3 linked regions of the Drosophila melanogaster genome follow. The protein of the gene in region 3 interacts with the protein of the main gene of each other region in a pairwise test. Each region holds a gene or a part of one and is shown on either strand. Other genes may lie near its edges. The genes, in order: Z600, Pen and Nup50.

Evidence for each region.
Region 1: the proteins of Nup50 (region 3) and Z600 interact in a two-hybrid assay, tested with the Drosophila melanogaster proteins (one study listed by BioGRID).
Region 2: the proteins of Nup50 (region 3) and Pen interact in a two-hybrid assay, tested with the Drosophila melanogaster proteins (2 studies listed by BioGRID).

Annotation. Positions count from the first base shown.
Region 1 is NT_037436.4:15,503,822-15,513,269, forward strand, and holds Z600 (Z600), read left to right. Parts: upstream 1-5,239; 5' UTR 5,240-5,302; coding exon 5,303-5,575; 3' UTR 5,576-5,692; downstream 5,693-9,448. Other genes in the region: CG7857 (uncharacterized protein), read right to left, coding at 1-336, 398-992; CG7841 (uncharacterized protein), read right to left, coding at 2,068-2,327, 2,406-2,524, 3,652-3,745, 3,978-4,029; gdl-ORF39, read left to right, coding at 5,728-5,847; gdl (gonadal), read left to right, coding at 5,915-6,060, 6,116-6,410, 6,784-6,927; MsrA (methionine sulfoxide reductase A), read left to right, coding at 7,298-7,348, 8,351-8,544, 8,655-8,915, 8,975-9,209. UniProt on the Drosophila melanogaster protein: Cell cycle regulator that is involved in modulating and adjusting cell proliferation according to the requirements of the developmental program. Interacts with mitotic Cdk1-cyclin complexes to inhibit mitotic entry at the G2/M transition.
Region 2 is NT_033779.5:10,053,024-10,065,128, reverse strand, and holds Pen (pendulin), read right to left. Parts: upstream 8,230-12,105; 5' UTR 7,925-8,229; intron 7,508-7,924; 5' UTR 7,433-7,507; coding exon 7,370-7,432; intron 7,309-7,369; coding exon 6,995-7,308; intron 6,931-6,994; coding exon 6,360-6,930; intron 6,283-6,359; coding exon 5,662-6,282; 3' UTR 5,034-5,661; downstream 1-5,033. Other genes in the region: CG44153 (uncharacterized protein), read left to right, coding at 1-331; Spn31A (serpin 31A), read right to left, coding at 1,292-1,416, 1,475-1,628, 1,688-2,557; Cpr31A (cuticular protein 31A), read right to left, coding at 9,257-10,267, 10,762-10,773. UniProt on the Drosophila melanogaster protein: Binds specifically and directly to substrates containing either a simple or bipartite NLS motif. Promotes docking of import substrates to the nuclear envelope. Seems to act as a cytosolic receptor for both simple and bipartite NLS motifs.
Region 3 is NT_033778.4:8,117,474-8,128,769, reverse strand, and holds Nup50 (nucleoporin 50kD), read right to left. Parts: upstream 5,735-11,296; 5' UTR 5,633-5,734; coding exon 5,407-5,632; intron 5,351-5,406; coding exon 4,221-5,350; intron 4,161-4,220; coding exon 3,822-4,160; 3' UTR 3,712-3,821; downstream 1-3,711. Other genes in the region: Socs44A (suppressor of cytokine signaling at 44A), read right to left, coding at 1-446, 509-1,065; coil (coilin), read left to right, coding at 1,571-1,705, 1,761-1,846, 1,901-3,237, 3,297-3,503, 3,561-3,700; Asap (ArfGAP with SH3 domain, ankyrin repeat and PH domain), read left to right, coding at 6,385-6,513, 9,150-9,222, 9,302-9,447, 9,516-9,856, 9,919-10,361, 10,447-10,882, 10,945-11,296.

The sequences.
Region 1 (9,448 bases), on a different chromosome or scaffold from region 3:
CTGGCACCGTGGAATTGTAGTGGGCACCCAATTGGTATATGTGGCGGTGGTAGCAGATGATCAGCGGTGATCCACCGAATTCCTCTTGCCCCAGGAGCGTCGGTGCTCCTTCCGCTTGGATAACTTCAATGGGCACCCGGAGTAGCGATGAGATGGCCTTCAGTTCTATGTGGCCACCCCAAGCGTGAGTTTTTGCTATGTCGTGGCAGTATTGTTCGAATTGTTGGTCGTTCAGAATGTCTCCTGTTTCCGGGTGGATCATGTATGAGATAAGCGAGTCCTTGTGAGCACGCACATAATTGGCAGTTTCCTCCCGCAACTCCTGAACACTGTGACCTTTGGTGCAATTATTATGGATTAGTTTTGGTGCTGTGTGGACTGAATCGTGAAGCATTACCTGGAAGAGCATTTACGATAAGTTGGTGTCTGATGGACTGATATAAGCAGTCGCCATCGGAGGGTATATTGTGAAGGGATAATTGGCGTTGGGATAGCTTTGCTGTAATCTGCTGCAGTTCGATTAACTTGGGCGTTGGCTGATTGGCAGCATTTTGCAGCTCCGTCTTGATCTCTGCCTCTCGTGCACGTGCCTCCTTTGCCTTCTTGTCCCGGCGTTTCTGTGCCTTGGAAACACGCTGATTGGGCGCCAGCTGTTCCTCTTTTTCCTCGATTCCATCATCGTCTGTCACTTCAGTTTCTGGCTTTTCCGCTGGCTCTTTGACGACCGGTTCCACCAACACCGGTGCCTCCATGGCTTCCGCTGCCTTCAGTTCCGCCTTGTGGCGCTGCTCCAGCTCTCCCTCCAGGCGAGCCATCTCCTCCAGGAACTCCTTCCGCTTGTTTTTATTATTTTTCGGCGCATTCTTCTTCATGGCCTGCAGCTTGGCCTGCAAATCCTTGCGCTCGCGACGATGTCTGGCACCTATGTCCTCCAGACTGACCTCATCCAGACGGGATTCCAGCTCCGCAATTGCCACATCGCCGTCACACATGTTTTTTTATTTAATAAATAACAATAAACTTAATCCTGACAAAAAATTATTTTGGCAGGTTTTGGAAGAGTGACCAGCTTGCGTTATTATATACCGAAAGCTGTCGGAAATATCGTCACCGTTATAATATACTTTATTTTACTTTAGTATTTAGTATTTTGACTGTATGGAAATAGACCAAGTTTAAATTTGAAATTTCTGTAATATAGTGAATAATCTTTAAATAAACTAATTTATTTCTTGTTATATCATTTGGGATGGAAAATTTAAACAAAAATCTAATGTAAGTAAAGAGGGTAATCTCCATTCATTGTTACGCATCACACAAAGTAAATTCTCGCATTCCCTTTCCCCCCATTAATTAAACTTTTAAAATATTTCTGTTAAAAGCGAATATAATTTTGTTGATTTTAATTTTATTTATGCTAAACATAAATCGTTTTATAGTGAGAAACTAAATACAGGCAACGCCAGTGGTGAGAAATCGGCTCAACCAATTCCTTTTTTGGATATTTCTAAATCTTAACTAGAGTTGACGTAATAAAATCCAATTATTTTAGTATGTACAGGCAAATATTTAAACTGGAATCGGCATTTACAGAATTAAGTAAAACCAAAATCGGTTGCAATTAAATTGATGTTAGTTTGAACCTTATACTTTATACAATTCACATGAGTGTTGTTGACATTAAAAAAAAAATGGCAAGCCATCCAGATGACACGTTTCTTATAACTCTATAACACATTCTTAATTGTAAATCAGAAATCGTATTATTTACATTGGCCAACGGCGACGACTCTCAATTTACTTCATATACACACTTATATGCGAGATGAACCTATGCCAAGATTTGCCACCACGGTGGCCTCCCAACCACTAACATCCAAAGTGATATTTACTTAGTCGCTAGCCGAAAACTAAGCAAGTCTCTCGTCACATCTCGTTTCGCCCACTATCATCTAGTGTGATTTTGCCCATGTCCAGTCGAACGTACATGCACAGAAGGAAGCACTGACTATCTAGGAATTGACAAAGATCAGGCTCTGCCACTCATTCGATCCCATGCGATCGGTCCTACAGGCTTTTGGTTATGTTCTGGAAGAGGCGACGTCCCCACCACGACTCCAGGTCGAAGGGCTTGAAGTCCTGTAGCGCTGGACTCGGTGGCTCCACCCAGACAGTGGCTGTCGAGGCAGCGGGCACTGGGCTGTTGGCCATTATGCTTTCCACTGGACTGGCGGCGCTGTTGTTGTTGGCATCCGCTACAGGTTTCTCAACAGGCTTGGCGGATGAGCTCGAGTCGTAGGGATTCTGCGCCACCAGCATGTTCCAGGCTGCCAAAAAGTAACAAAAGTAAACCACATTTATTAAATACTTATAAGTACATCTTTACAATCATATTTCCGACTTACAGTCATTTATGTAACGTATTATTTCCTCATGTTGCGGCGTTATCACCTCATCCTCGATCAGTTTGGTTGGCGTTATCCGCTTGGTGGCGAAGCTCTGTTGAAACACCGGACGCGGTATGCTGTTTTTTTAAAAATCAGGAAATATGCATACAATTTTAATAACAATGTTCTTGAATTTCAATGAAAAGGCACTTATGCAAACCACACAGATTCCACCAAACATGTGGACTACGAAAATAAATCACTTGGAGAACGAGGTGGGGTAACTTGGGTTCGACAGCTTGCTACTCAGTTCGAGGAACGCTAAATGCATTTTAATTCGAGAAAGGCGCTGCAGTTCGTCGATTACATTATTTTGGCTTTTAAATGTTAAAATTACATATCGATGAAAAAATTACAAACTCAATATATACTCATAAGAGCAATGAGTACTGATAAGCTATCTACAGTGGCAGATAGTAAACAGTGCCATCCCATTGACTGACAAGGATTTGTGGTTTATTAATTTAGATAATAGTATTTCGGCAAAGGGTTAGGTAATTTTTATCTTGAAGTTCTAAAAATAAAAGCAATCGCAAGAAATTAAATACAATTGGGAGTTTATAAAGTTAATATTTATATAGAGAACTTTTCAGATTTCAGCTGAAATGGCTATGGGAAATTCTAGAAAACTCGCATCCATAAGATACTTTTAACAGCAAGCGTAATACAGTTGATATAAAAGGCATAAAAATAAACAAGAAATGAGATACACTCTTCAATTACCTATAAGTACTCTACTCTGAAGTTACATGTTTCGATTGCAGTTAGACATTCGGAATAACTCCACACCCTTCCAGGTAAAATAAGTAAATTAATCAGCCTTGTTTTGGCACAACCTGTGCCGAGCATTGCCGCGAAGTTACGTTGGAGCCGTGACGTAACGGACGTGGAAAAGTCAATGCCTCAATGGCCTCAATGGGCATTTAAATTAAAATGGAGCCGATAACCGACGCCTGACCCACGTGTTTCCAATGGGTCTCCCCTAGCGAGAATAAGACTACTTGCTCGGGAGCAATTAGCATTACTGTGCTAGGTCGCCACGGATTCTTGCGATAAAATGTCAGTGCGATAAGACGAGGGTCTTGAACCCCAGTCCGCGTTTTCCCCCGTCACTTTTCCCGCTTTCCACATTTCACCATGTGCCATCCGTTTGCATAAGCACCCAAGATTTGGGTATGGTTACATATGAGCATGGCATTCTTACTTTTTGTGCTCCTCGGGACTGTTCAGATCGAAACTAGCGTTCTTGCGGCCGCTCTCCTTGATGCTTTCGAATTTTTCAAAATTTGGTGCCAGGCCTGCGGATGGAAAACATGCCATGGAAAGCTATAAAATACGCATTTACTGTGGAAAACGCCGGCAAAACAAAAAGTTAACAGAGCCAGAGAGCAAGAGAGGCAGAGGCAGATATATAGAGAGAGAGAGAGAGAGAAAGGAAAAGAGTATGTTTTTGTGACATAACAGCTGTTCTCTTGAAAGGGTCTATTGTGGCATTATTAACCATTATTACTATCAATATTTTGGACTCACCGCGACGCGTTTTAGCAACAATTTTGCTAGGTCCCTTGTTGATTGTGTACATGGTGGTGGGGAGATGGGGAGTACCGGCTGAAAATATACCTTGTCCTTTCGATTTACGTATTGTTGTTTTCGTTTCTGGCAACGAAATGCCTAGCCGACTGCTATGATTTTGAGTATTTTTCCGCTCTAGGCAATCATATGATCATTGGCAGCCCAGCCTGCCCCACGCCGCCTCCTTTTGGCCTATTGTCATCGTCTCAAAAGGTTACACAATACACTTCACTTAGGGCAGTGATTCCGATTTAGCACTCTTTGATTTTGATGGCTGCCGCACCGCGCTCGTATCAATTGTTTTCGATTAAAATCACCGACAATTACTCCTGGAAACGCGTTTGTAATGTTCTGTGTTCGGCGGACGAGGCTCCAATGCAACTGCCCCATTCAAATCGCATAACGAAATGTTAAGAGAGACACCCGCAAAGAGCCGTATGTTAGGGCGTTCATGCGGCAGACAACTCGACTTTCAGCAGATCATAATTTCTTCATGGCAGTAACCCACGGCAGTGATTTTATTTGATAAGCGTTTATTTCTTTAGGCTTTCAACTATAATGGGCACTATCAATTGTTTAGTAAAGTCTTTATTTTATAATAGCAATCAGCTTTAGGTTTCGTAGTTCGCGAAGTCGATTAACGCATAAACTGTACAACCGATACACGTGTATGCCCACCATATGATTTCGCCAGTATGTACACACTTTAAAACGGCAGTGGGTTCTTTCACCTGCGCGCGTTTTTTTAAAAGCGTATTAATTGATTAGAGGCTACATTTAAAAGATTGGATTATTGAAAGCATTTAGAGATCCAATATAATTGAAAGCATTTGGAGATCCAATAAATTATATTTTTATATTATCTTTAAGGAATTATTATCTATAAAGTAAGAAATTAATATACTCCATTAAAAAGTTATGCACTTTAAACACCAAATTTGGAAATTGTTACGAATTCCTTTCTAATTTATTGCGATTTGTAAAAGGCGGACTTTATGGCGGTAGACTAAAACCCATTACTACCTGCTCGCGTAATTCTGAACGCATTAAAAAGGGATTAGCGAGAATTTTCTGCGGAAATTTTAATTATGAGCAGGTAGCACCATAAAAGTGACAGATGTGGAAAACGGATAAGCTGTATTTTCCGCGCAGATATTTATGGCAGTCCTGAAATTGCACACTCAAGTGGATATAAAGAAGGCCGTGGGCAAAAGGAAATCAGTAGCAAATCAGCAACGTCAAGCTTCACATTAACTTCCTGATCAGCCAGCCTAGCAGTTATTATGTCGTCGACAAATGAAACCAACCAAGTGCTGCAGCGCCTGAACAGCCTGAAAATCGTGGAAACCCCAAAGGAGCAGCATGAGTTCGGAAAACGCGAGTGCTACTCCCTGGACAGCAAGAAGTATTCCCTGGTACCAGCCACCCCCAGCAGCTCAGGACACGGAAAGTTCCAAACCGAACTCAAAAAGCGCCGCAAAAACAAACTGAATCGCATGTACACTTACGAGGCTGATAAGAATTTCATCAAGGCTCGCAAATCTTTGAACTTCTAATCATAATACGAACCGATGTAATCACCTTAGTCATAAGCATCATTGATTTCAAATCGTACAGTCACAATTCTTTTCACGCTCTGATACAACAAAAATATATATAAATACTTTTGAAACATTTTACTTTCCGCGTCTTTCTCTGACTTACCGTTATGTGGGCAGCCAAACTGATTGTGGTCACACTGCTGCTGCTGCAGTTTGCAGCCCTGGCGCTCAGCTGTTCGTGCGGCGAAGAGGCGAAATTGGAGTGCGGTTGCACAAAACATCACTAAAAACACAAATACTTGGGAATATTACACAAATTATTGTAAATAAATAGGAAATCACAATTTAGTTAAGATGGCGGACATACCGGCAACCAGCGAAGGTAGTGCGAACACTAGTGAGGCAGTAGTGGAGTATCAGCAGCCAACTCCGGAGTTTTTACAACGCAAAATCTATTTTTTGGTGGACCAATTGCGAACTTACCATTCGGAACTTCCCGAGTAAGTCCTTGATATTTAGTTTATTTAAATATTTAACGCCATTTTTGATTAACAGAAACTTGCAGACACGCATTTCCTACGATCTACTCACCGAACTCGCCAATTGTGTGCTAAACGATGGCATTTTTGTAATAGTAAAAGCATTAATGGAGCTGCAACACGAAACCGAAAGACACTTAATTAAAATACGGATGCAGGCGGAGAACGAGTATGAAATAGAAGTGGCCGAGTGGAGGAGCAAGATCAAGGATCCCGAGGAGTTGCGCCACATTTTGGGACTCATGAAAATAAAGCACACTAAGAAACTACACGAGTCGGATACGAAGATTATCGAAATACTAGATCAAAAGGTGAAGAATTCAATATCCTTTTGAGTCGTTCCATTCCACGCACTTTTAGTTGGTCTTACCATCCAAATTTCTTTAAAAACAATAGTCGAATCTCAAACTTAGATAATCCTAATCCTATTTAAAATTAAATTCAAATATGATACATAGTTTGATTATGGATGGATCTATAGATTAGGTATATTTTAGGTATATATTTATCTGCAGATTCTTATAATTGAAATGAAATTATCACTAAAGATATTTTCTTTTGTAATACAAATTATTTCTAATCATAACTTTAAATGCTTATATGGGAATACGAAATTAGATTTTACTACTTTAACTTTCTTTGTTTTTTCTTGATGTTGAACTAATATCTAATATCATTACGCAGGTTAATGACCAACAATCCACACTTCAAAAGGCCGGCGTTCCCGGCTTCTATGTCACCGAGAATCCCAAGGAGATAAAAATACAAATGTTCCTGTTGGACTTCATTTTGCGTTTGAGCCGGCTAAAATACGAGCCCGGCAAATAACAGTTAGTCCACAATCCGGAGAACACAAAAGACTGCACTTGACTTGTTCAAATTAGAATATTAAAGGCAATTAAATTATAACCCTGATCAAATGTCCCAGCTGTACGATCAATTGTGGCCCCAAGAAACCTGTAGCGCTGCGCAGTTTTAATCAGCGTAGAATCGGGAGAGGGAGAAAGAGACGGGGCCGGCCGCCAGAAGACTGAAGAGCGGGAGAATTGATAACGATAGCGCGGCACTCTCCACATTCGCGTAGAAAGCGGGAGAGGCGGCAGTATAAATTGGACCGACCTTTCTGCAGATGCATCAGTTCAGCTTTAAATGTTAAAAGCGACACATTAAATAAATAACAATTTTAACTAGTGAAATCATGTCTCTGACTATTACTTCCAGTGTCACTCATCCTGAGCTCAAGGATCTGGTAAGTAATTGGTCTAGTGATTGGTGCCTAATCCTGTGACTAGTGATTTCAAATGTCCTGCGGTTTAATTCGAGCTTAAATGTAAATTAAAAAATGCTATGATAGCTAATGAAATATATTTTAAATTTTTTTTTGCCGAATCGTGACTTTAATACACCTTTAAACAGTGTACAAATATAAATAAACAAATATATGCAATTAAATTATTTGATGTACAAGACATAAGTAATTTGTGAAGAGTCTTAAAGTTTCTTGAACCCCCAAGGCCGGGTGGCCAAAACTTTGATGTGCTTAGTCATAAAAGCCAGTTTCCGACATCTAATGTTCAGAATAATTAAAGCTCATGTGAGCACCTTTTTGTTGGCTAGAGGAATTCGGTTTGTTTTGGCCAGGTTCAGTTGCTTCCCAACAGTTGAGCAGTTTACACATAATAATGTTTTCGCGACTGTTTCGTAATTTCAAGGCGAGTTTTGCTCACCTAAAACCGCATATTTAAATGGTTTTAAAAGTGATTTAAGCTAGGATTAATTTAGTTGTTTGCTGTGCGAAGTGAAGCGCTGTTAGCCAACGACTTTTACTTTCTTTAAATCAGTTTTTCCATTGACCTTGATTTTGAAATTGATTTTGCAATAGTGTGTGCGAGAGAGATAGTATTTTCAATCAGCTGTTCGACAGCTGCAAGTGCAAGGCGAACAGAGCGAAAACCGAAAAGAGCGCGAGAGAGAGTTTAAAATGAGCGCACAAAGTGCATTATTATTTTGCTGACGACATCAGACGCGAACAAAGCCCCAAAGAAAATACTTAAAAAACTTAAAACCTGCCGAATATTGCATTTATTATATACATATAAAATTTTGTGCTTAAAATGCGCTGTTTGCCGGGCTATGGTTACGGCCTTACGTTTCTGTTTTTGGTGTGCGCTCAATACGAATAAATCTAATATTTCAAATTTTAGAAATCTGTTGCTCATACTCCCCTTTCTTCTTCTTCTTCTTCTTCCAGAGCACCGTTCGCAATGAACAAAAGGAACTGAACATTTCGCCGGTTCACGATGTGAATGTCACCAAAGCCACGGCCACTTTCGGCATGGGTTGCTTTTGGGGCGCAGAATCCCTGTATGGAGCCACCCGTGGAGTTTTGAGAACCACCGTGGGCTACGCCGGAGGCAGCTCGGATTTGCCAACGTACCGTAAAATGTAAGGGAGCAAGTTGAGAGCATTAATCATCCATATGTCTTCCTTTCACGTCCCTACATGTTGCATCCCATAATCCTTTCGGATCCGGTACTAACCACCAATCTCAACAGGGGCGATCATACGGAGGTGCTGGAAATCGACTATGATCCCACGGTCATTAGCTTTAAGGAGCTGCTGGATCTGTTCTGGAACAACCATGAGTATGGCCTGACCACGCCCATCAAGAGGCAGTACGCCTCCTTGATTCTGTACCACGATGAGGAGCAGAAGCAGGTGGCACACGCCTCCAAATTGGAGGAGCAAGAGCGCCGTGCACCGGAGATCATAACCACTGAGATTGCATCCAAGGAGAACTTTTACCCAGCCGAGGCGTAAGTTTTAACTAAGAAAATCTGAGTGCGTTGATATGAATTTCCTTGTTTGTTCATAGGTACCACCAGAAGTATAGGTTGCAGGGCCACAAGGATCTCGCCTCATCGCTAAATCTCAGCCCCAAACTGCTGCAGACCAGCTATGTGGCCACCAAACTGAATGGCTACCTGGCCGGAGTCGGCGGCATCGAGCAGTTTAAGGCGGAGGCGGAGACCATGGGTCTGACGCCCACCCAGCGGCAGTACTGCTACTACCACGTGGAGCAGAACGAGGGCCAGGGTCTCTACTGCTGACATGGCCGAATCTGCATAGACGTTAAGCGTAGATCGTACACCTAGGGGGGTAATTTTATGGATAGTTTGCTTGTTCAAAAACAGATTGTGTATTACGTAGACTTAGAAACGTATGAAATATATATGAAACGCATATATTTTATTATTATAATAAAAAAAAATATCTCAAACTAAAGTTAATGTTTTTGGTTTTTGATTTGGAATCTTATTTGTAGCACTGCCTTTCCAGGGTATTATTA
Region 2 (12,105 bases), on a different chromosome or scaffold from region 3:
AACGATTCCGACCATGTCGCTGCCCACCCAGACGCCGAAGACGCAGAAGCGAGTGACCATCCTGGAGCCGACGTCCCGCACGACATTCGACCCCCTGCTGCCCACCATGGTGGCGGCGGTGGTCTCCACATCGACTGTCACCAGCACGGCGACTACGACGCCAGCCACGCCCACACCCACGCAAAGCGGCTGCAGTGGGGGCAATGATGCAACGCTGGATCGGATCACGCTCGATCTGGACTACTTGCTGAACAGGGGCGCTGCGGATGCCGGCGAAGCAGGCGGCGTTGCCCCACCGCCCACCAGTGATGATGGACAGCAGAAACAATAGCAATATCCGTGAGTTGGATGGCATTTGTAGGCCAAATGCCCACACTAAGATGCATTTAAGAGGCTTCGTTTTTCTATCAACAGATGTACATATGTGTAAATCAAATTTCGAAACTAAACTACAGTAAAAAACAAATCTCTGTGAATATTCTATCTAAGTATGCATCGGATATAGATACCAAATATGGATAACAATCAGTTTAGCAGCTCCTGGTTTTACCAATTTTTTATCAAATAAGACCATCCAATTTTCAGTTCTATCAATTCATGAAATGTTCAAAGTTACTGTCCTTCAAAGTGATTTAGGCATCAATCAACCTAGACTCATATTTAGAACACAATTTAAAGTTTACATCATATGGCATATGTAAAACGAATTGAATGAATTTAAACTTAGGATAACTTTTTAGCTAGATTTACAAAAAGCCTATTGTGGAGAATACAATGAGAACGAAATTGAAAAAAAAAAAAACAAATTAATGAGCGAGAACATGTTTTTGATTCCATTTAAAGTTTCCTAGAATTAAAGCCAAAATTAAGCCCTATTAAGAAGCAGAGATTAAATACAAAATACAATAATTGTAAAACTAATAAACATAACAGGACTATTTCTGGAACAAAACAAATTATACAGATATATCTTTAAATAAACTCGAGACTCTTGTTAGAAAATCTATTAAAAGTGTGTGTTTGAATTTGGAAAAAAAATATGATATTAAATGACTAAAAATTACTGACAAGCCGGAAATGCAAGGTAAGATTGTGGTTAGATTTTTATAATAATTTTCATAGAAATTTTAAACCATTTTCATTTTGCAACAAATACAAAAAATCGATCATATATTCCGAAGCATTCATACATCGATATTACTTGTTTAGTAAATATTAGTTTTATTTTACTTAGTTTTATAGAAGTTAACATATTGCACTACCCTTCCGTGTATCTAAATTTTAAGAATTTTTAAAATTCCACCACGTGACCCATCAGATAGGTCACATTCTCACTGCGAATGGCGAAGAAGAATGGATGGTCAGCTCGGAAGAATTTCTGGCGGGAGGAATTGCTGATCACAATGGGCTTATATTCTGGAATGTTTATGGATAAGGTATATTTATCACCAGGAACTACAAAGAAATTAAATACCTGTGGCATTCTTTGGTAACTCGGGTCCGGATCCGGATCCAGACTCATTCAGATTTATGCGCAGCTTTTGAAGAACATCGGCAATGGGCAGATTCGCCGATGCATGCAGATGTTTGAAGTTCGCCGATGCAGCAAATATCTCCTCAAAGCCGAGCTATATAAGATAACATATTCGAAATTGGGAAAGAGGATACATTTATTGATTTTACGAACCTGTTTCAACGGCTGCCGCAGACTGCACTCGAAATCGATACTGAATTTGGGCAGCAACACCTGCACGCCCTCCATCTGCATTCGCTGCTGCAGTGCACCCAAATCCAGGTCATGCAGCTGCTTCTCCAGTTCCTGCAGGCCACCACGCTGATTGGGCAGAATGAGCAGCATGGACAGCTCCTCGGCGTGCTCGTAGGGCAGCTCAATGGCACGCGCATCCAGATCCCTCAGCTCAGCGAACTTCACGAACATGTCGTCGTCGAAGAGCATGGGCACCGATTTCACCTGGCTGCCGCTGTGAAACTCATAGAGTCCGGTTCTGTAGGCACTGAAGGGCAGGAACCACTTGCTCTGCAGATTGGCGGCCAGCAGCAGGAGCAGGGTATTGGCTGACGAACCACCTGCCACGTGAATATCCTTCCAGCTGCCGCCTCCAACGCTGGCCAGGATCTGTTCGCTGATGTGGCGACGCAGTTTCTCCGTTTGCTCCAGATCAACACACTCGGCAGTGGCATGGAAATAGGTTTGTGCAATCTTCTGGAAATCATCGGCCACTCCAGATTCAGATGACAGCATCAAACGATTCTGCAGCTGCAGGAAGGTATCTGCATCTGTTGTGATATTGCCCAGTTCCGCGGCATAGAAATTGGCCATTTTGGCATTGCTGGCAAAACGTTGCTTCAGTCGCAGTTGTTTCTGCAGCTCCTCGGCGGTGGCTCCATCCGATCCCAGGAAGAGCAGGGACAGAGTGGCTTCCAGTAGTAGTGGTGATACAACTACATTTTGTTCTGCAAAACTCGTTGCTATGCTGTGGTAAATACCAGCACCTATGTGGCAATCATAGGGCGTTGGATTGGCAGCTTCACTCATTGTGTTGCTTCAAAAAAATCCAAGAAAATTCAAGTTTTGAAATCTTTGTATGCAAAATGAAATCGTAATCTTCGTAAAGCTACAAAAAACATACACAGATATATTGCATGATAAATTACTTAGCTTTCAACTTTGGAAGGGGTATTATCTTGCCCACTTTTTCCAGGAATCTAATGAAATCTGAATCTCTTGAGAAGCCTTGGGCAGTGTTTTCGTATGCAGATGAAGTCTTATTAATATTATAAAGGCGTGAATTTATCGCTTCCACATGGTTGATTCTATCAAAAGTAATTGTTTAGCATAAATGCGCCCTACGGCATAATGCAAAACACATGTGCCATGTATATACATACATATGTAGATATACATTTGTAAGTAAACTTGGCCAAATTTATTAGGGCCATGAGATGCTTTAAATAAAATGAAAATATAATGCGGCCCAGCCGCAAGTAGATACTACATTGAATCCCATTTAAATTCACCTTGGCTCTTGAAGTGCACACTGTAATGAAAATGTAAATTGTCTACCATTTCATTTGGCGAATACAAAAGAAGCGCCTTGAACAAATAAAGTCAACTGAACACACTAGGCCAAACTTGACACTATTTTCGGCAAGTAAACAAAGCGGAAACGCCGAGGCGGAAAACTTTGTGACAGTGCTGTGGCTATATATTTGCGGCAACTTTTAATTTCACGCGAATTTCGGCAGCCGCCGCCGTTCTATGGCAAACAAACCCAATCCCACCGCCTACCACGCCCACGCCCACGCCCACTTCAATGCCCACTCGCTATATATGTACTATATAGTTTGTCGATTCGAAGCTGCAGCTCTGCACGCCGATTTCTACGCGACGCGCACACTTGCGCGCTTAATTGCCACATCAACAAACAAAATACGCGCCCACCCACCCCAATCGGAAAATAAAAACGGACCGAAACGGAAAAAAAGACCGTTTTCCGCTTCAAAATCGCGAGAGCCACGCTGCCCACACTGCAAGAAAAATCTATCAGAAAATCATGTCACTCATACTCTTTCAGTTTTCACAATTTTATCACATGAACAACTTTAAAATGCATTTTGAATAGATTTAGTATAGGTAATATACTATTCTATCAATTCACAGCAAAATTAAATGTTTTCCCAATGATTAAAATTAAACATTTTATAATGAGTACAAATTTCTTGCTGTGTACGCTATGTAGTAGTCGCTATAAAGTAGCGCTGTTCTAGTGCTAGATGTTTATTGTTTATTTTTGGTGTGCCAATTTTTTGTTTTATTCAACGAAATTAACTGCATCATGAGTTTGTCAAAAGTGCTTTCGATTTTTTTCACACTTTTTTTCTTGTATTTTGTAAACGTTTAAATGCACCAAGTGGCATATGGTGTATCCCCAACTGGATTCTCAGTGAGGCATATGAGATCAGAAAATTGTTTTCGAAGTGGCATCATCAACAACAATAGTTGTGAAAATTTCGACACACATTCAGTGAAAATGCGAATTGATTTACACACAAGGCAATTTACGAAACTACCGATTGGTTTCACATCACTTGCACTATTCTCTATTACCTTTTTTAAAAATCGTTAGAAATTTTTAAGTTTCAAATGCGTAATGTCAGTTCAGATCGTTTTGCAATTATATAAATTAGTTGCCCTTAGAGATTCACGCCCGCACGCAGCTTCGGCAGAAAGTCGACTAAACGCTTGCGCTCGGAAATAATAAAATAGCTCGAGAAAGAACCAATTGAATACATAGATCCGATCCATCGGTGACGACAATTTGGGCAACGCGGAGGCAAAAGCTCCGGATGGCGGCCAATGCTTCCACAATTCAGTTCGAATTTTCGGCAACTACTTTGCCCATGCTGAATTTTTAATCTATTTTTATAATTTGTTTTGCCACACACACACACGATTCGCCGAATTCGACGCACTGCATCCGATGGGAACAAGATCGTACGTGGACATGGTTGTTGATGTGACGTCGTCGCTCCACTGATTAAGCTTACCCTCTGGATCACTGCAATAACCACGAACGCTGCGATTCATCTTGATTGAGTTGTGCGTGGTGCGCGTTCTGTGCCAGTAGTAGACTACTACTCACTACTCACTCGTCGGTTGTTTAATCATTATATCTAATCTGGAACTTTTTTGGGGTCGCTGTCCACCGCTGCTCGAGTGGGCGTGGCTGCGGTAGATAGCTCTTAATCTTCCGGCTATCCGCTTACGGCCCAAATGCGATTTAAATGTACAAGACAAAAAAAAAAACATGTATTGACTGCATGACTTTTTATCGCGGATTTACGGACAAAAGGCGCCAGCGCATCGAAGGGATAACATTTTAAATTCGATTGCCTGCATCGGTGTATATCCCAATAGCATTCCAAATAATATACAAAAAAAAATGCCAAGGCCCAAAAATAGGCTCCAATTTTCGCAATGCTCAAATGCAGCTTAAATACACATGAAATTTAATTAATCATTCAAACAATTCATTATTTATTGACAACTTTGAATATAAACATGCGATTCGGGAATGAGGACACTGGTGTGAAGGGAATGAGTTGTTGTTGTTGTTGTTGTTGTTGTAATGCTTGCGCGAAGGTGGAGGATTAAAAGCGTTTCCTGTATACATAAATAAATACTAAACAGCCTAAAATATATCCGAAATGAGCTCGAAACGTATCCAATAAAAAGCCTAGTACACGCAAACATAAGGTGCCCCCTGTACAGACGGATTCTGGAAATACTATGATCCACGGATCCCAGCCAGCGCAGCTGCCCGAGCGGTTGCATCGTGAACGAGGAACACTGCCAGAAAGATCCATGCTGCAATCTGTGAAGTCTAGTCTAACGCGAGGAATACGGGTATGTTAAATGGGGATTCATGCGAGTGGATTTTGCCAACCCGATTCAATTATGACTTTAAGCTAATGCATTCGCCTGTGTTTCCATGCATACCTCCAAAGTGTTTGGGAATGTTTGTAAGATGTGATGATGAGTATGCGTATGTTTGACAATGGCATAGTGTGTGAGCGCGGTCGAAGGTGTAGTTGTTTGTAAGGCGTGTGAGCGGAGTTTGGAATGTGTGGGGTGGGCGATTAGAACGTGTAGCCACCTTCGGGAGCCTTGGGCTGGGTGGCATTGAACTCGAGGGCTCCGTTGACCTCCTGAGGTGCGAGCTCTTGCTCGGCCTCGTCGTCGCCGTTGCTGAAGTATGTGTCAATGATGGCGTAGGCCTTCTTGTAGACCTCCTCGTTCTCGTGCTGCTGCAGAGTTTCCAGCTTGTCTAGACCGCCCATCTCCTCGACCATCAAGCATAGGTTCTCGGTGCCACCAAGTTTCTCCGCCAGGGCAAACAGATTGGATAGGCCCGTCTGCACCACCTTGATGGTACGCGGATCCTTTGTGTCCAGCAAATCGATAAAAGGCTTCAATATTTTGTACTTCTCAATTAGATCGACGATCTGTTCGGGAGTGCCAGATGTCGTGGTGTTTGTCACCGCCCAGGCAGCCTCTTTTTGAGCCTTGAAATCACCCTTCTCCAGCACGGTGCGCAGCTGCTGGAAGATGCCGGCCTGAATCACAGCCTGGATCTGCTTCTGGTTACCTGCTGTGATGTTGCTGACCGTCCAGGCAGCCTCCTTCACAATGTTGCTTTTGTTGTGCTGTAGAAGGAGTCCCAGCCTTGGTAAACCTCCAGATGCAATTACAACGTCAGTCTAATAAAAAAAAAAAAAAAAAACAGGTCGGTCAGGCATGTTATAACAATAAGGATTAAAATCATTTGTTTTCCTACCTGTTGATCTGTGCCAGTCACAATGTTGCCAACGCTGCGCAGGGCGGGCACAATAATGCTCGGCTCGTCCATTTGCAGCAGTTTGACCAGGCGCGGCACTGCGTCCGAGTCGACCACAGCCTGGATCTTGGTGTTATCGTCGTCCGTGACGTAGGACAAAGCCCAGCAGGCGTCGGCCAGCACTTGGATGTCCTGACTAAGCAGAAGCTGCGACAGGACGGGCAACAGCCGCTTCACCTGATCGAATGGCGGCGATGGATTCTTGTTCCGGCACAGGTTGGACATCAGCCAGACGATGTTGCGCAGAAAAGAGAGCGGTGTCTCATTGTTGATCAGTGGCAAGATTCCGTCAATTACGTTGTGGTGGATGACAATGTCGCGGGCGGCGGCTCCGTCGCCGGCAATGTTGCCCAGAGCCCAGACTGCCTGCTCGGCCAGGTTCATGGACTTGGACTGGAGCAGAGCCACGAAATGCGGCACAGCATTGTGTTCGATAACGCAGCGCGTTTGGTCGGATGTGCCAGAGGCGATGTTGGTAAGCGCCCAAGCGGCCTCGAACTGCAGCATTGAGCTGTAGCGGCGAATCAGGGGATATTCAATAATGCTCTCATCAACATTCTAAAGCCACTACTCACTTGTTGGTATTCTGCAGGAAGCGTATGCAAATGGGCACAATACCATGGCCGATCATCAGGTCGATGGGTGGATTGCGCTCCCGACTGAGCATCTTGCGGGCAGACTGCATGCCCAGAAACTGGCGCTCCTGATCCTCGCTGTTCATGGCCGCCACTATCTCGTCCACGGACAGCTGCACCGGCGACTGGCCATTGAGCTCTTTGAGCGGCGACGTTAGATCCTCGTCGTTGATGTTGCGCCGCTTGAACATCTGGTCCTCCTTTTTGGACTTGCGCAGCTCGATGGTCACCTCATGGCGGCGCATGCGTGAGTCCTAGGGCAAAAAGTGAGGTTAGTTCCGAACGCAGTTCTGCGGAGGATCTTGTGTACATTACCTGCGTGTTAATGCTGTTGGCCTTGTAGGAGCCCTGTCGTGAGTTAGAATCCGCCTTACTCATTTTTTTTTTTTTTTTGAGTTTTGTGTTTTTTCTTTAAAAGTTTAGATGTTTGCTGCTGCGATGAAATGTGTGAAACTGAAAAGGAAAATGTGAGTCAATGTCAGGAAGAAGCAGAATCAAGGGCTGCTTGGGTTCTTTTTTTTTATCTCTGTCTTTTATATTCCTTTCGGCGTGCAACAGGGGCGTAACCATGAGTTCAAAAAAGGGGTTTTCTTTGTGGCCAGCAACTCGATATGTTATTCCTATGTGTTAGCCAACATAAGCCAACTAATTTACAAGATTATTTTTAACGGGGCACCCAATCGCTCAAGCCCCCGCGAGTTAAGAACTACGCCTTTGGTTGGCAACAGCTGCAGCAGCCGCCATTTGCCGATTCGCGGAAAGAGGGGAACGAGAAGAGGAGATCACGAAGAGGCGGTCAAATTGATGAACGCTAGTAAAAAGCAGTGGGAAAAACCGCGAAAAGGAAGAAAAGAGTACACACGCACTTACCTTTGTACCTTTGCCCTTTTGAATGCGTGTGCTGGCTTTTTCGAATGGAAATTCACTTTACTGAATTTTTACACAATTTTTATCGTTCCCTAACGAAACGCGAGCACGAGAATTTGTCGAGCGTGTTAGCACGCTGAATGTGTCGGTGAAACTGTAGACAAACGTAGACAGTACTCTCGTAATCGATGCGAAATTGGAGTCAATGCCTGCTTGGCGCCGCCAGAATTTACCGTTTGATTTGAAAAGCAAGCCTTAGTGGCGAACGAAACGCAGATGGCTATCGATCTTTGTCAGTTATCGAAATTTGATGCCAGTGTGAACGTAGGTGCCTAATATCGCATGTTATCTTGCTGTTAACTTCGGACAACGGCGCGTAGAGAAAAATAATGTACATTTTTTATATCCACATAATTATTACTAAATTTTTAAGTAACTTATTATTTTTTTAGTATATATAAATTTCTGGTGTAACTTGTTAACGATCGCTTGCCAAGTGGTGAAGCAGCTTTTGGATTTCAATATGTTGTTGTGGAACGTGGAACGTGTGCGCATGCAAGCCAAATTCAGCCAACAGCTGAATAGAAGTCGGCTGAATCTGCACACCACGCGGGCTCATTTAAATGTTTATGACAAATGTTTATGTTTTACTTTCTCGTCTTTACTTTTGTAAGGAAAACCTTCATCTTAAAATAATATAATATTAATAATGTTTAATATTAAGGCTATACGTTTAAAAGCTTCAATTACAATTTCCATAAATATTTATGTTCAATCTTTGTTGTTAATTTATTCAACGAATATGTGTTAAAATGTAAAGCTCTATCCATATTTAATAAGACAAAAAATAGCCACCTAAATCAATATTTAATTGGATAATAAAAGGTACTGATTTTATCTGTCTACCTTTAAATATAAAATTTGATTGTCTCTTTTTTTTTGCTTGCAAATATGTTATCATTGCACTAATACCATTTAATCTCTCGATTATCAGTAATAATGCAATAAATGCGCAGATATTTCCGGTTAATGCTCTTTTCATTTTGTTTATATGCGGTTGTCAGAAATAAACAAAATTTTTTTTAGAGATGATTGCTGCCAATCGATTTAGTCCCTTTTTCAATTGTTTGTTTTTCGATTCTTTGAGAAGTAATCCGCTAAATTAATGTGGTAAATTAATTATTAAAATCGCCGCATTTAAGCTTTTGAATTATCAGCTTATAAATGTAACTAAACTACATTTAATTTGAATTAGTAGACAATTTTTTATGTATTCTCGAAGTATTTTATTCATTTCCTTATTAATTTCAACAATATTTCCGTTCATAATCCAATCTAGGCCGTCTTCTTGTTCTCCTCCGTAACTGGAGCAGCGGTGGTGGTGGTGCTGCTGGCCTCCGGGGCAGATCGTGCCTCCACCACGTCGGAATCATCGCTGTCAGGAGCTGGGGAGGATTGACCAGCTGGCGAGTAGGGTGGGAACTGCTGATCCTGGGGATAGGTTTGCTGCTGCTGCTCCTGCTGCTGCTGCTGACCCTCGTTGTAGTCAATGGGAGTGGGTTCCAGCTCGGGCTGTTGGGCCACAGGAGACTCCACCACCTCACCCTGCTGCTCGGCAACCTGTTGAATCTGCTGTGGGGCGAACACCTGCTGGTGTGGATAGTAGATGGGAGCGGGCAGCGAGGCAACGGGAGCGGAGGAAATATGGACGGGAACTGGAGCTGGAGCGGAGACGGAAACCACTGGAGCAGCAACTGCGCGGGCAGCGACAACCGGTTCCCGCTGGACCACCGCATTGAATCCGTTGATGTCGTCGGCGGTGTAGGTCACTGTGCGCTTGAAACCATCGGCATCCAGGACGGAATAGGATCCCACAACATTGCCACCGTCACGGGTCTCCACCTGGCTTTTGATATCGCCGGTGATGCTGTCGTGAACGCCGTAGGAGAAGTCGTAGCGCGGCGAAGATTCCAACTCTACCTGTTTCAGTACAGCGGGAGCAGCAGCCACAGTCTTGACCACTGGAGCAGCGACCACGGGAGCAGCAGCCAGGGTCTTCACCACCGGCGCAGCAACGGGCAGAGCGAGAGGAGCAGGAGCCACCGCCTTGACAACTGGAGTGGGCAGGGCATAGGATCTGGTGTATACAGGAGCAGCTGGCACAAAGGTCTTGGCGTAAACTGGAGCCGCCTGCTGGTAGACAGCAGCCTGGGCCACTGGTGCCGCATGGTAGACGGCAGCCGGTGCCTGGTAGGTGGCATAGGCGGGATGATAGCCGGCATAGGTGGCGGCGAATCCTGCGCGACAGGATGCGGCGATGGCCAGAAGGGAGAAAACAGTCAGGAGCTGCACGGAAAAAGGGTTTAAATTATTTCAACATTTTTCATTCACTTCATTTTGTTAATAATTTAAGTTAATTTTGCTAAAAGAAGTGCGCTACTTTATATTTTAGCCAAAAACTATGTTTTCATACGTGCAAATGCAATACAAAAATCCAATTGCATTATACAATTTTTCAAATCCAATATTAATTTAAAATCGAAGCAATGCCAATTGGATTGGTTTTATTTTCGTGATTATGCAAATCACAAGTTATGAATTCAGTTGCACTGAAATTGAATTTGCTTCCTATTTTTTGGCCAACACCGAATTTAAACATTTAATCGATATGGAATTTTTGCGGATTTATAGAAAAATACAAGTTGGCTGGATATTTTTTTTTTCGAGAAAGGATATAGTAACACACGAGTTTAGCAATTGCCTTGAAAGTTGGCCATTTTGTACGCCATTGAAATGCCTTTTAAATCGAGCTGCTTAGAGTTCCACTTTATTAAACTCACTTTGCCTGCCATTGTGGAATCACTTCCTTTGCACTGGACTACTCGGTTTGCTCGAGGATGAAGTGGCACGTGCCGCACAGGTTGCGATGACTTTCAGACTGACGACTGTATATATCCGTCCGACTCTGGCAGAGACGTCGACTTAATGATGTCGACCACTCCCGACGCGCACCACTTTATATGGGGCGTCAGAATTAGCCGCCCCAAAAAAGAAGTGGCGCCCTCAAGAAAAGACAAAAAAAAAAAAATAAAAAGAAAAAAAAAAATCCGAAGAGCAAACCGGTAACAAGTACAAAAGTGTCTCGGCATCTTGGTTGACAATTTGACAATTGTCTTGGGCCAAAACTGGTTTCGGGTAATTTGTCTTTTTGTCCACGGTTTCGATACTGCTATCCGATTGAGTTTCGGTTTCGGTTTCAGTTTCAGTTTCGTTTTTTGGCTTTCCGCTCTCCATTTTCGTTGTCAAGTTCAGCGCTTCCTTGTAGGCCTACTCAGCGTGTCAGCGATTTGGTAATTAATTGCGTTTTAAGTGCCGTTCAATTAACTTTTCAATTGTCCGTTTGCCACCTTGCAGCGCCCTCTGTCGGAGCACAACGCACTTGGCCGTGTTTTTTTTTTTTTTTTCTTGGCGACATGCGCACGCCAATGGAGCGCCAAATTTGCTGTCAAGTTGTCCCTAAAGCCAACTATTTCTCCACCTCCCACGAAAATACAGGTGTCTTGTCAACACCTCAATATCCGCCACTATACATACGTATATAAATATATATATTTATATTTCGACTTGGTGGCTTTTGTGTGTCAGTGGCGTTTGCTTCATTGGGCGCATGATTTTCAGTTTTTTTTTTTTTTGTTTATTTTGGTCTTTTAGAAAATTTATTATTGCTCCATTTGGTGTTTATTTGGTGTCCACACTTGCAGACATTGGCACAGTTTCACATAGTTTTGCACTTCGGAACAGAGGCTTGGAAATTGCCAAATCGGATTACTAATTACAGGCATCTACCTTTATTTACTTTTTTTTTCATTTATTTACCATGAATGAGTTGGTTACCATCAAAGGTTGCCAACCAGGAACAAAATACGCTTTGGGTCACCGAAAATGGGTCTTAATTGATAATAATAACCCAGAACCGAAGGTTGCCCCAAAAGGCTTTTCTATGAAATTCGCCGCTTCCCGCGCAGCCCAACGAAAAAATGTGTCAACTCATTTGAGCGCTGTAATTAAGCGGCTTCAAGGAACCAGCCGCTCTCCATTATGGTCACAATTGTCTCCGGATGGCTGTGAACAATGAGGCATCGAGAGATCCCCGTTCAATGACTCTCCCCCACCCCCCTCCCCCT
Region 3 (11,296 bases):
CCACCGACAAGTACTCCAGCATCTGCGCCGGCACTGGCAACTGGGCCAGCTGTTCGCGAGACATCTGGCGCTGCAGAACACGGCGGCATAAGTCCTGCAGCTTGGGCATGTTGGAGTACCGGCTCAACGGGTACTTGAGGATCACTGGAAACGGTGGCTGCATCTCGTTGGGAACCTTCACAAAGCACACAAAGTTGTCGTTGGTGCAGCGGTGCAAGATATCTTCGATCATCTCGACAATGGACTCGTACTTAAGTTCCTCGAAGTGCCAAAAATTGTCGCGATATTCCAGTCGATAATGCAGGGTTACGTTCACAATCCGAAAGCTGAGCGTGAATTGGGATCCGCTGGTTTCCGAGTCGCGGACTAGAAACGACCCAGTCGGCTTGTCACTCAACTGCCGCTGCGAATCGCGCCTGGAGATCTCACCCCAGTACCACACTTGGCTAAAAACAAACAAAGGGCATGAGTCATCGATCGTTGATGGACGGAGAAACACGGCGCTTACTTGAGCATCTCGGAGCAGGCCTTGTACATGATCTGGTTGGGCGAGTGGGCGTCCTCGCGCTCAAGCCATTTCTTCCGGATAAAGCGCAAGTAGTCGTGTGTGAATGGTAGCGTGGGTTCCGGACAGATGGCCGGCGTAAGGAACTCGTAGGTGGCATCAGTAGTTCCGCCGTCGTCGCAGTCGCCCATGGAGTGCCAGTTTCGCAGGGAGCTGAGCCCTTGGCCCACCTTCCTTCGTAGTCTGGCAAACACGTTTCGCTTGTCCTTGTCCCGCCTTCTGCGCAGAGTTCCTGTGCCCGTGCCCCCATTGCTGCAGCTGGCCATGGAAGAGTCCGCTGCCTCAAGGACGCACACTTCGTTGTTGTTGTTCTGCGATCCACTGGTGGAGACGGCGGCGGATGCAGTCACGGCCAGCGCCGAGTCGGACTTCTTGCGCCTGGTCAGCGAGTGGAACCAGCCCTTCTTTTCCTTCTCCCTGTCCCTCGGGGAGTCACCACCGCCAGTGAGCGCCTGGCTCCGCTGGCTGCTCTGGTTTTGACTCTGGTCGCCGTGGCTCATTTTGGAGTGGAATCGGATCGGATCGGAGCTTCCTCGTGGTGGAATTACATCATTGATCTAATTCGGAGCCGTGATCAATGCCTAACTTTATTGATAAGAACTATTTGTTTTCGTTGTACACAAGAACTGTCTTATCGCTATCGGTCGTGCGTAGCTGGTAAATGCTATCGATAACATAGGGGAGTTTAAAAAATTAAATTCTCTGCAAGGCAAAGCTTTAATTTATCCATTATTACAGCCCTCTGCTTTAGGCATTTTTAAAACTAACTTAAATTATTTCAAGTAAAATCTCGTTGACTTAAATATATTGTTTTCCATATTGCAATTTTTTAATATTAATGTAGTTTGTCATTCAAATAAGCTTTATTTTTATAAATCGCTACAAAAAATATGACATTAATTTGACAGAAATTTAAACACATCGATTTAACGATAACGAAATCGAACATACTTCCATCTCTAGCACATTTAAAATCATTTTAATCATAAGAAAACTAAGTCAAAAATGCAACACTCCAGCATGAAGGTGGATCTATCAAACTTTTTCAAGGACGAACGACGAAATTCGTTGGTTTTCATCGATGCAGCATGGAACAACATCAAGGACCTCCAGGACCACATACAAAACCTCTTCAGCTTGGCAAGATTTTTAAGAATCTCTAACTGCTAATTCTAAATAAATTGCATTCAAACAGAAGGACATTAGTCTGCTCACCTCAGATGGATGCTATCTGCCCCCGAGGGAGTCTATCAAAGTGTTGAACTCTGCCGAAGGACTCAAGTAGGTGAGCTTATTTCTTTTTACGATCTACTTGAGCATATTCATCCCTTGCAGAGCCTTTCGGTTTGCCAGCCACGATAGTGATACCTTTGTGAGCCCTGCTCCTGTAAAATCCAGTAAAAAGCGCAAGAATCGATCCGTCGAGGAACAGGTTCACCTAACCGCCTCCACTCCCCTCCGACCTTCAAAGCGCTCCAAGAACCAGAACAACTCAGAATGGATAAATATTGCAGAAAACCCATCTCGTGTGAGAAAGAAGGAGTTGCTAGATATGGCTCCTGGACCTTCTGTACAATCAAAGCTCTTGACAAACAAAGGCACTCCAAAGGCCCCTGAAACTCAGACAGAAGTTTCTAACATGTCAGCGAACATCGAGACAGAGAACAAGGAATCTGCTCCTCAGATTAAAAATAAATCCAAAAACAAGAAACCGACCAAATCGCCCGAGGCATCTGACCAGGTAGAGAATGAACCTGCTCCTAAGAGTATTTCTCGATGCACGCTCAAGGAGGGTAAAATGTCAGAAAGCAAGAATCAAGAGACATCGCCTGACATTCTATCAGAAAAATCTGGTGTGGTAACGAAGGAAAACGAAACTCGAGAGGAGCAACAGGACAAAACACACTTGGAGTCCAACAAAATTCCGGATAAACTATCTCAACTGAAAGCAGGGGACCAAATTGAGAAGAGTCCTGGCATTGCTGCTAGCCTCCTATCGATTTCGTTCCGCTCCCCTCTCTTGGAGATGCCCTTTAATGTTCCGCGCATATTTCAATTTCCCACTAAAAAACAACAAATTGAAATTCTGGAATATAAAAAACTTAAGCCCATCAGTCCTCGTTTTTTGCTGCAGAAAGGAGCTAAGAGTGATGATACGGCTAAACAATTCCCAAGCAATGGGAAGGATTCAACCTTAAAGCCTAAATCCTACGAAATTTTGCACGACGAAGAATTACCAGATGTAAAGGATAAAAAAAATGTTTCAGAAGGTATAAAGAGAGCAGTTGCACCTCTTTGCGAAGACATCATTGAAACATCAACCACTCTTCCGGGGGCCATAGGAGCAGTTGAATCCGCTTATCTGGACAATTCGACTGAAGCTGAGACCACTCTTCCGTCCGAAGCTGAAGCAACTAATCCACTTGAACTTACTGAGTCATTTCTACAGAACAACACATCTATGGAAAAAACACCCAAAGTCGAAAAAATTTTGCCAGATGACGGAAGTGCATCTCCGATTAAAAATAACGTTGATTCGAAGGATGTTAAAACGGTAACAGTGCCCATTTTTGAGGAACAACTAGTATCCGATTCCGACGACGATGTGATGTTGGTAGACGACTCCAATATCGACGTTTCATACGGCGACTCTGATATTGAACCGATTCCAGGTGAGATACGAGGCATTTAAATGGTAGATGTATGCTTATGAGTGCCCTTGACATCTTAGTAGTAGAAAATAGGCAATCTTTGGATATTATAAGGGACCTACTGCGGACTGCAACTCCACTCAATAGCCTGCCGTCCAGGGGCGATACGGTTATATTTAAACTGCTGAAGATTAAGGGAAACGCCAATTCTGGCACAACCGAATTTGTCGCCGGGAGGTGCACTTACGTTAACCGGCGCACCAAAATTGTCACAGTGGAAACAATAAGTAAGCGACTATCAATTTAAATTGTATACCCGAAACTGATCTCGTTAAAATTTTTAGCTTATCCCCCCGAAATCGGTCGCATGTTGCGTCAATATTATATGAGTGGGTTGGACGAGTCTTCTGAGGATGTGCGAACTTTAAGTATTCATCTCAAAGATATGCTTGAAGCCAAAATCATTGTAGCCACAATTGACTGATTATCATTTTTGTGTGTACATTCTTGAGTTCTATTTCCAGGGTTTCGTACATTTATAGCTTTTAAAATACAAACGATTAAACAACATCTATATGTACGAATTCATGTTAGTTGTCTATCCTCTACTTGATGTGCTCCTTGATCTTCTCCAGCAAGTCGTCGGCTTCGTCACCGGTCTTTACGCGTAGCAACAGCGATGTGGCCTTGGAGTCCTCTGGCGTGGGCACGCAGACCATCAGCACATTGTTCTTGCCCATGCGCTGGCAAGGTATACCCTTGCTAAGAATAAGGTTGACCAAGATGTTGCCCAGATTGGTGTCGGCGCGGACTAACAGTTGGATCTTTTCGGAGTCCTTGACAGGTTTCAAGTACAACGTGCCCACGCCACGATCGCCAAAGTCCTTGTCTTTCTTAATGAACACCTTACACCGCTTGGAGTATATAGCGTCATCCTCCACAACCTGTTTGGAGTAGAAGTTATATTATCTTTCCCTTCGAAAAGAAAATTCTTTTATCATCACCTGTTTAAACTCGACTTTTGGGGGCGTATCCTCTTCTTTTTCCTCCTCCGCAGGCGCTGCCGCTGCAGCTGGCGGATGAATGTTTCCGAGAGAGAAGGGCGTGGCACTGTTGGTGAAGGAAAAGCCCTTTGCGCCGTCTCCTGCTCCTCCAGGCGCTTTTCCGAAACCCGCAAACAACGAGGTGCTTGGCTTGTCGTCGTTGTTACTTTTCAGTCCGAAGGAAAAGCCATTGGTCTTCGGTGCCGAGAAGTTAGGCTCATCCTTTTTAGTGGTCGTATCCTTTGCTCCAAAGCTAAAAATGCTGGACTTAGGGGTATCATCGGATTTGGCTTCTCCAGTGGGTTTTGCTGTCAAACTGAAGATACTGGAGGAGGACGGCACTGGCGCAGTGAACGATGCCGTACTGCCGAAGGAGACCAGTGGTGTTGCGGTCGTGGTGGTTGTTCCACCACTGGTTATGGTGCAGTTGGGTTTCTTGGCTAAGGGCGATACGCTGGCGCCTATTGGCGCGCTGGGCTTGCCAAACGTAAACGTAGTAGCCGCTTTTGGTGGCGACGATGCACGGGACACCTTTGCAACTGGTTCTTGAGAACGAGCTTGTGCCGTTTTGGATTTCGTGGAGTTCGTTCTGGCGCTCTCCTCGTCTTGCAGATCCTTTAGATGCTCATCATAGTTCTTAAACACTGGAGTCAGTATGCAGTAGGGACTTTTGCCCATTTGGTCCTGCAGGAATTTTATGACGGACCGATTTAGGTCAGCAACGCTTTCACGGTACTCGGAGGTCTCCATGGTGGATGTGAGGCTAGTGCTGCTGCTGCTGGTTTTGGCCTCGCTACTCTCCTTCTTGGCAGCTGATATGTTGCCAAATATCGAGGTGGTCGGCTTGGCGCCATCGACGGTACTTGTTGATTCCTTGGCCGGCAAAGGAGAGGGGGCCGTGCTGCTGGTGCTGGCGGTGCCGCAAATGCTAGTGCTGACAGGCCGATCGGCCGAACTGGAACTGGAGCTGAACCCGAACGAGAATGCAGACTTTTTTGGCTCGCTGCTAGAGGTCGTGGCTGGTGCCGTCACATTGGCCAGGAAGGAGAAAGGCGAACCCGCGGCTGGGCTCGCAGCCGGCTTGCCGAAACCTAAAAGCAATCGGAGTGAGCAAGTCCCTCAGGTCTGCATGGATTTGATAGCTTACCGGAAAAGCCACTGAACACACTTTTGGGCTCTGCAGTCTTTTCTTCGGCGCCATCCTCTTCAGCGGCGGACGATCCACCGGCAATCTTGCGGCGCGCCTTCTTGATAACGCGTGTCTTTAGCTCCTCTTCGGTGGCCGTGCGGAATGTGCCGCGCTCCTCGGGTTCCTCCTCCAGGTCCCAGTTTTCGTGGTTCAGGTTCGAAGTGGCTTGTCGCTTGCCAGCCATCTTGTTCTACTCTGTATTAAAACTCAAAGCAAATGCCAGTGAAAAAGAAAAAAAAAACCGAATAAAATCCACACCGCGTTGCTGGCGGTCGATAAATGTTATCGCTACCTCAGTTGGGCGACGTAACTGTGAGTCAGCGAAACAGGCCTGCTGCTTTCGATAGCATATCGATAGGGTAACAACAGCGAGACGCCAGCAGCACAAAATCGCAATAAAACAAAAGTATTAAATCACGCCTAAAGTTAGGACGACCATGTCCAGTGCCGCGAGTCCCAGTCACAGTAGCAGTACCAGTCCGAGTGTGTTTCTGATCCTACCATGATTGCCGCGATTCCGGGTACTGCGCACTTCCCTCGCCCAGAGACAAAGTTAATTGTGCATCTCGAGTAGTACGAGCAGTACCAAAAACGCAGAAAACCGAAAAGCGAAAAGCAAAAAGCCAAATTGCATGAGGATGATGAGAACGCCAGTGTGTGGATATATGGATATAGTGCCAGGGAAAGTGCGACGAGCAACAACACAAATCGGGAGTGAACAAAGACGCAGAGACACGTACAGTGCTTAAAGGCGTTATCCTGGTAGTTTCTCAGCTATTTGCCGTCCCGCTCCCACTCCCATTTTGCTCCCGTTCCACGGCCTTGGGCGTGAGCTGGTGTGCGTGCGACTCGCGTGTGTGTGTGTGTGAGTGAGTGTGCGTGTGAGTAAAAGATACGCTGTATATACCAGGACATCGGGATATCCTGAGCAGCAAAATGCCGCCATCCCTGATTGCCGTGTCCGAGTTTGTGGAGGAGACGCGCTCCGATTACAGCTCGCCCACCACCTCCACCTTCGCCTCGAGGATGCCCGACTGCCGCCACACGATTGGCGTCTTGGAAGAGGTAAGTGTGTTGACCAGGCAATTCCTAAGCCATGTTCCTTATGTAGAGGCAGGTAGTCCAAAAAGCCAACAATCTGTGTACCTACAGCCCAAGCAATCCCTAGTTTAAGGTGGGCTATCCTGGTGGGTTTACAGGTGTGTTCTGGGAATCCCAGTCTATATAGTTTTATATTTGAGCTAAACATATAAACAGTCTAGGGGTCACTGAATTTAAAGGCATTTGAACCGCTGAAAAATTGGGTTTACTGTTCAAAAACTAATATCTTCGTAGGCTACGGAGAGTGAGGAATGTGTTATCGTCATTACTTGTTTATTTCAATGATTAAAATTCCGATCCATCTGCGGATAATCTGTAATAATAATCGGTTTTGCAAAACAAAGTTCCTAATTTAATGGAATCTGATCGATGTCGGTGAAAGTGAAAACAGGAGCACGGCTATGTGACCACGCGATACTGCAGCTAACATGGCAGGCGACGCCCCCTGCCAAACGGTGATGATTACTATTTTCCGGGGGGCTGCAGCGGACAGATTTGTAAATTGGCGCGGCGCCAAAATGAGCCACCGCCTGTTATTTTAGTGCGGTCTCTCTCTCCCGGCTCGCGCTCTCTCTCTGTCTGCCCGCAAGGTGGTTTTTCCTCGATTCCACGATTCCACAAAAATAGTACAATGGAAATACAAAGTGCATTCCGGAACGTGCAAGAGCAGATGGAGCTAGGGGCGCAGGGAACTGGGGGCTGGGCACCGAAGTGGGAGTGGCTGCCACATAAGCATGCTGTAATTTCTATATTTACTCAAGGCAGCTGTGATGTCGCCTCCACTTTCATATGTATGTAAGTGCACGGATATAAATCGCCCGCTGATAAAGCTAAGCACACAAAGAGTATTTTACGGCCGGAAAAAGGCGTGTGATAAGAGCAGCGAATCCGAGAACCGCGGCTATTCCCGTACGGGAACACTCAGTCAGCTGGGGATATCGTCCACAGAAAACACAGAACGCCTAAGTGGAAAAGTCATCCATGTTGTCATCCAAAAGACCCTTGAGTGGGCCGGTTGTGCAATATACACATATTGCTCCAATTCCCCAGGCTAATGCAGCGCCCGCCCGGCGAAACAAAATTAGACGATTTATTGGTCGGTCACGTCATGCCCAGTTTTTCCCGGAACTCTGGGCCGCCTTCTTGGACGCCACGTCAAACATTTAATATTTAATTTTGCTGATGGATTTTTGGTGTAGCCCAAGCAGCCCAGTGACCTCCATTCCCCGCCAGTTAAATGAATTTTATTTCTCTTTTTTTTTTAGCCAGTCTCTCCCATTGCGTGTTTATTATATTTGGAGCAGCTGTAAAACTGACTGTCTAAAATGAAATTTAATTTTGTGCGTCCAAGAGTTTCTCTCTGTGCCATTCATTTGGCCGCTCCACAACAAAGTGCTGCTGTTTTAGCCATCTTCTGGGGCTTTGACTTATTATAAATTAGCATCTTTTGTTATCAAAACAGCTAACTGGCCGCGCAACTCGTCCAAAGAGCAAAACAAGTTGACGAATATCGTTAGCTGGTTTTTGTTTTCGGTCTAGGCGTGTTGTTTGCATTCCCAGTAATTTGCTCAACAACATGACTAATCTTCTACAGCCGATGGCGGATTGCTAGGGGTTCATTTGTCCCCAGATGTTTGCCACTCAGCGACTATCGCGTAGTATAGAATTGCAATCGCAAATAGTCAGGTTTCCCGGAGTTCGGTCTTGGCCGATTCGCTTGTTACTTTTTTTTCCATCTGCAGTATTTATTGGGCAGTTGTTGTCTGGTAGCTCATATATCAGTTTCAGCAGGAATGTAAGCGATCTTTGCCGATTCCCATATGATTCGCAGTTGTGTCAGGATCCCTGCGCCCCTCCTTGGCGGCTAATTCAATTCTGAACACAGCATTTTGAATTGGAGGCAATTGGGGAGAGTCATCGGGTCAATGGGGGAACGAACTCTTTCCTTCTCGACTTCGGAAATGTACTGAAATCATTGTTTATGCGGTTCCGGTTTCGGATTATAAAAAACTTTGCCGCATAAAACATTTATGCTGGAAAATGGGGGGTGTGTTTCGGTAGGGAAATTGCCTCGAATCTTTTTCACTTGCTGTCTTAATTGGTGCATGCGACTGCATTTAAAATGGTGCTGGTTCGGTTATTAAGTTTAATAATAGAAGTGACCTTGTCGTACATTTTCAATTAGCTGGTGCCATAAAATATGATGGGAGTATCGAAGGGGTGGGGTTGGTCAACCGACCGACAGGCGAACTGAATACCTAATGCCAATGTTGACGCGATTTCAATCTGAAAATATTGTTCATTCGGCGCCCGTCCACGGCGTTTCCTCTATTGTGTCTTCCCATCTTTGGCTAAGTTTGGGAATGCATTGTGGTTGCTCATCTAAAGCACAGAAGGTGCAGGTCGTTTATTGAAACGCTAAATACAATTGTTCGGACTTAGAAATTTGAAGAATTCCCTCTATCAAAGCCTCTCAATTATGCAAAACCTTGTCGCTATCTCTTGTCTTATAGAACTTCCTTAAACAACCCTTAAACAACTTTTATGTATTCCCTTTGACACCATGCCCAATTGATCACTGCAATAACTATCTCTTTCAGAGATTGGAGTTCGACCGGGAGGGTCTAACTAAGCTGAAAAAAGCGGTCAAGGCTATCCACAACTCAGGAAACAGTGAGTACATCCTCTGAGATATGATACCATTTATGTTACTTCCTTCCAAATAATCTTTGCTTTCGCTTTTATCTTTTAGCCCATGTGGACAATGAGATGTTTATGGTGCGAGCTCTGGAGCGACTGGGCGGCAAGGTTATTGAGCAGGATGAGCCGGACATCGGCGCCGCGTTCCTTAAGTTCAGCGTTGTCACCAAGGAGCTTAGCGCGCTGATGAAGACCCTGGTAGGCATGACGATTTCGCAACCATTACAGGGTCATCTAAAAGATAATTTGTTTACCCACAAAAACAGATGCAAAACATCAACAACATTGTGATGTTTCCGGTGGACTCAATGCTGAAGAGCGAGCTGCGGGGCGTGAAGGGGGACATGAAGCGGCCATTCGACAAGGCGGCCAAGGACTACGAGGCAAAGTTCATCAAGATTGAGAAGGAGAAGAAAGCCCAGGCCAAAGAGGCGGGTATGGTGCGCACAGAGATCGACGCCGCTGTGGTGGCCGAAGAAATGGAGAAGGAGCGTCGACTCTACCAACTGCAGACCTGCGAGTATTTGCTGAAGTACAAAGACATTAAGACCAAGACGGGAATCGAGCTGTTGCAGCACCTTATTGAGTATTATCACGCGTTAAGCAAGTGAGTACCTCAACATAGTTATGCTGTCCACAGATTAGAAGTAACATCTATCGCCTCTGCAGCTACTTTAAGGACGGCCTACAGACGATCGAGCACTTCGGCACATACATCGGCGACCTCAGCGAGAAGCTGCATGAGATCAAGCAGAAGCAAGACGAGGATCGTCGCAGTTTGCTGGATCTGCGAACAGTTCTGCGCAGCACTCCAGATTTTGAGCGAGTTGACAATGTGCCATCGTCGGAGAGCCGAAGTGGGGGAGCTGGTTACTCCCTCCACCAGTTGCAAGGTGACAAACACCACGGCGTCACCCGGCAAGGCCACCTTCTCAAGAAGAGCGAGGGCAAGGTGCGTCGCGTTTGGCAGAAACGACGATGCCGGGTCACCAGCGATGGTTTTCTTGACATCTTCCATGCCGACGAGTCGAAGCCGCCAACACGCGTAAATCTGCTCACCTGCCAGATCAAACCGGTGCCGGATGACAAGCGCGGGTTTGATCTTATCAGCTGTAAGTGAAGCACTATAGGAGTTGTAAAGAGATGGTTCTTTCATCACTTATACTAATATGATCATTGTGCTTTTTCCTTTTGCAGACAATCGTCCGTATCACTTTCAGGCGGAGGATGAAGGCGATCAGAAGGCATGGATGGCCGTCCTGGTGAACTGCAAGGAGAAGGCACTTACCAAGGCCTTCCAGCACGCCAATCCGCAGATGAGTCCAAGTCTGGTGGAGCTGCAAAAGACTGTGATCCGATATGTACAGCTACTGCCGGGCAACGATCGATGCTGTGACTGTGGATCGCGTAACGATGTGACCTGGATCAGTTTAAACTTTGGCATTCTAGTGTGCATTCAGTGCTCTGGGGTTCATCGCGATCTGGGCGTCCACCACTCGCGCATCCAGAGTCTTACGCTAGACAACCTGACGACGGCTAATCTGCTTATTGCTCGTGCCATGGGCAACAGCACGCTGAACGACATTATGGAGGCGAAGCTGGGAAGGGGCAAGCTTCAGCACGAGAGCAGCATGTATGTGTTATTGGCATGGTAGCGATTATCTCCAAGTGCTTAGTTGTAATATGTTTTTGCAGGGAAGAGCGTTACGATTTTATCCGCGCCAAGTATGTTGCCAAGCGCTATGTCATGCGCACGTGCTCGGATGACAACGACTTACGGTGCGACTTAGAGCAGGCTGTGGTCAACGCCGACATGAGTCAGTTGCTCCAGGTGTGGGCGGAAGGAGCGGATCTCACTTGCTGTCTGCCCAGCTCTGATGCCGGAGAGACGGCCCTCCATCTGGCCGTGCTGCGCGAGATGGGATCTACGCTGCACATAGTCGACTTTCTCATCCAAAATATGCCGCCTAAAGGTCTTAACAAAGCTACCAATCCGGCCGGTCTGTTGGATGTGACGGGAAAGAATACGGCGTTGCATTTGTGCGCT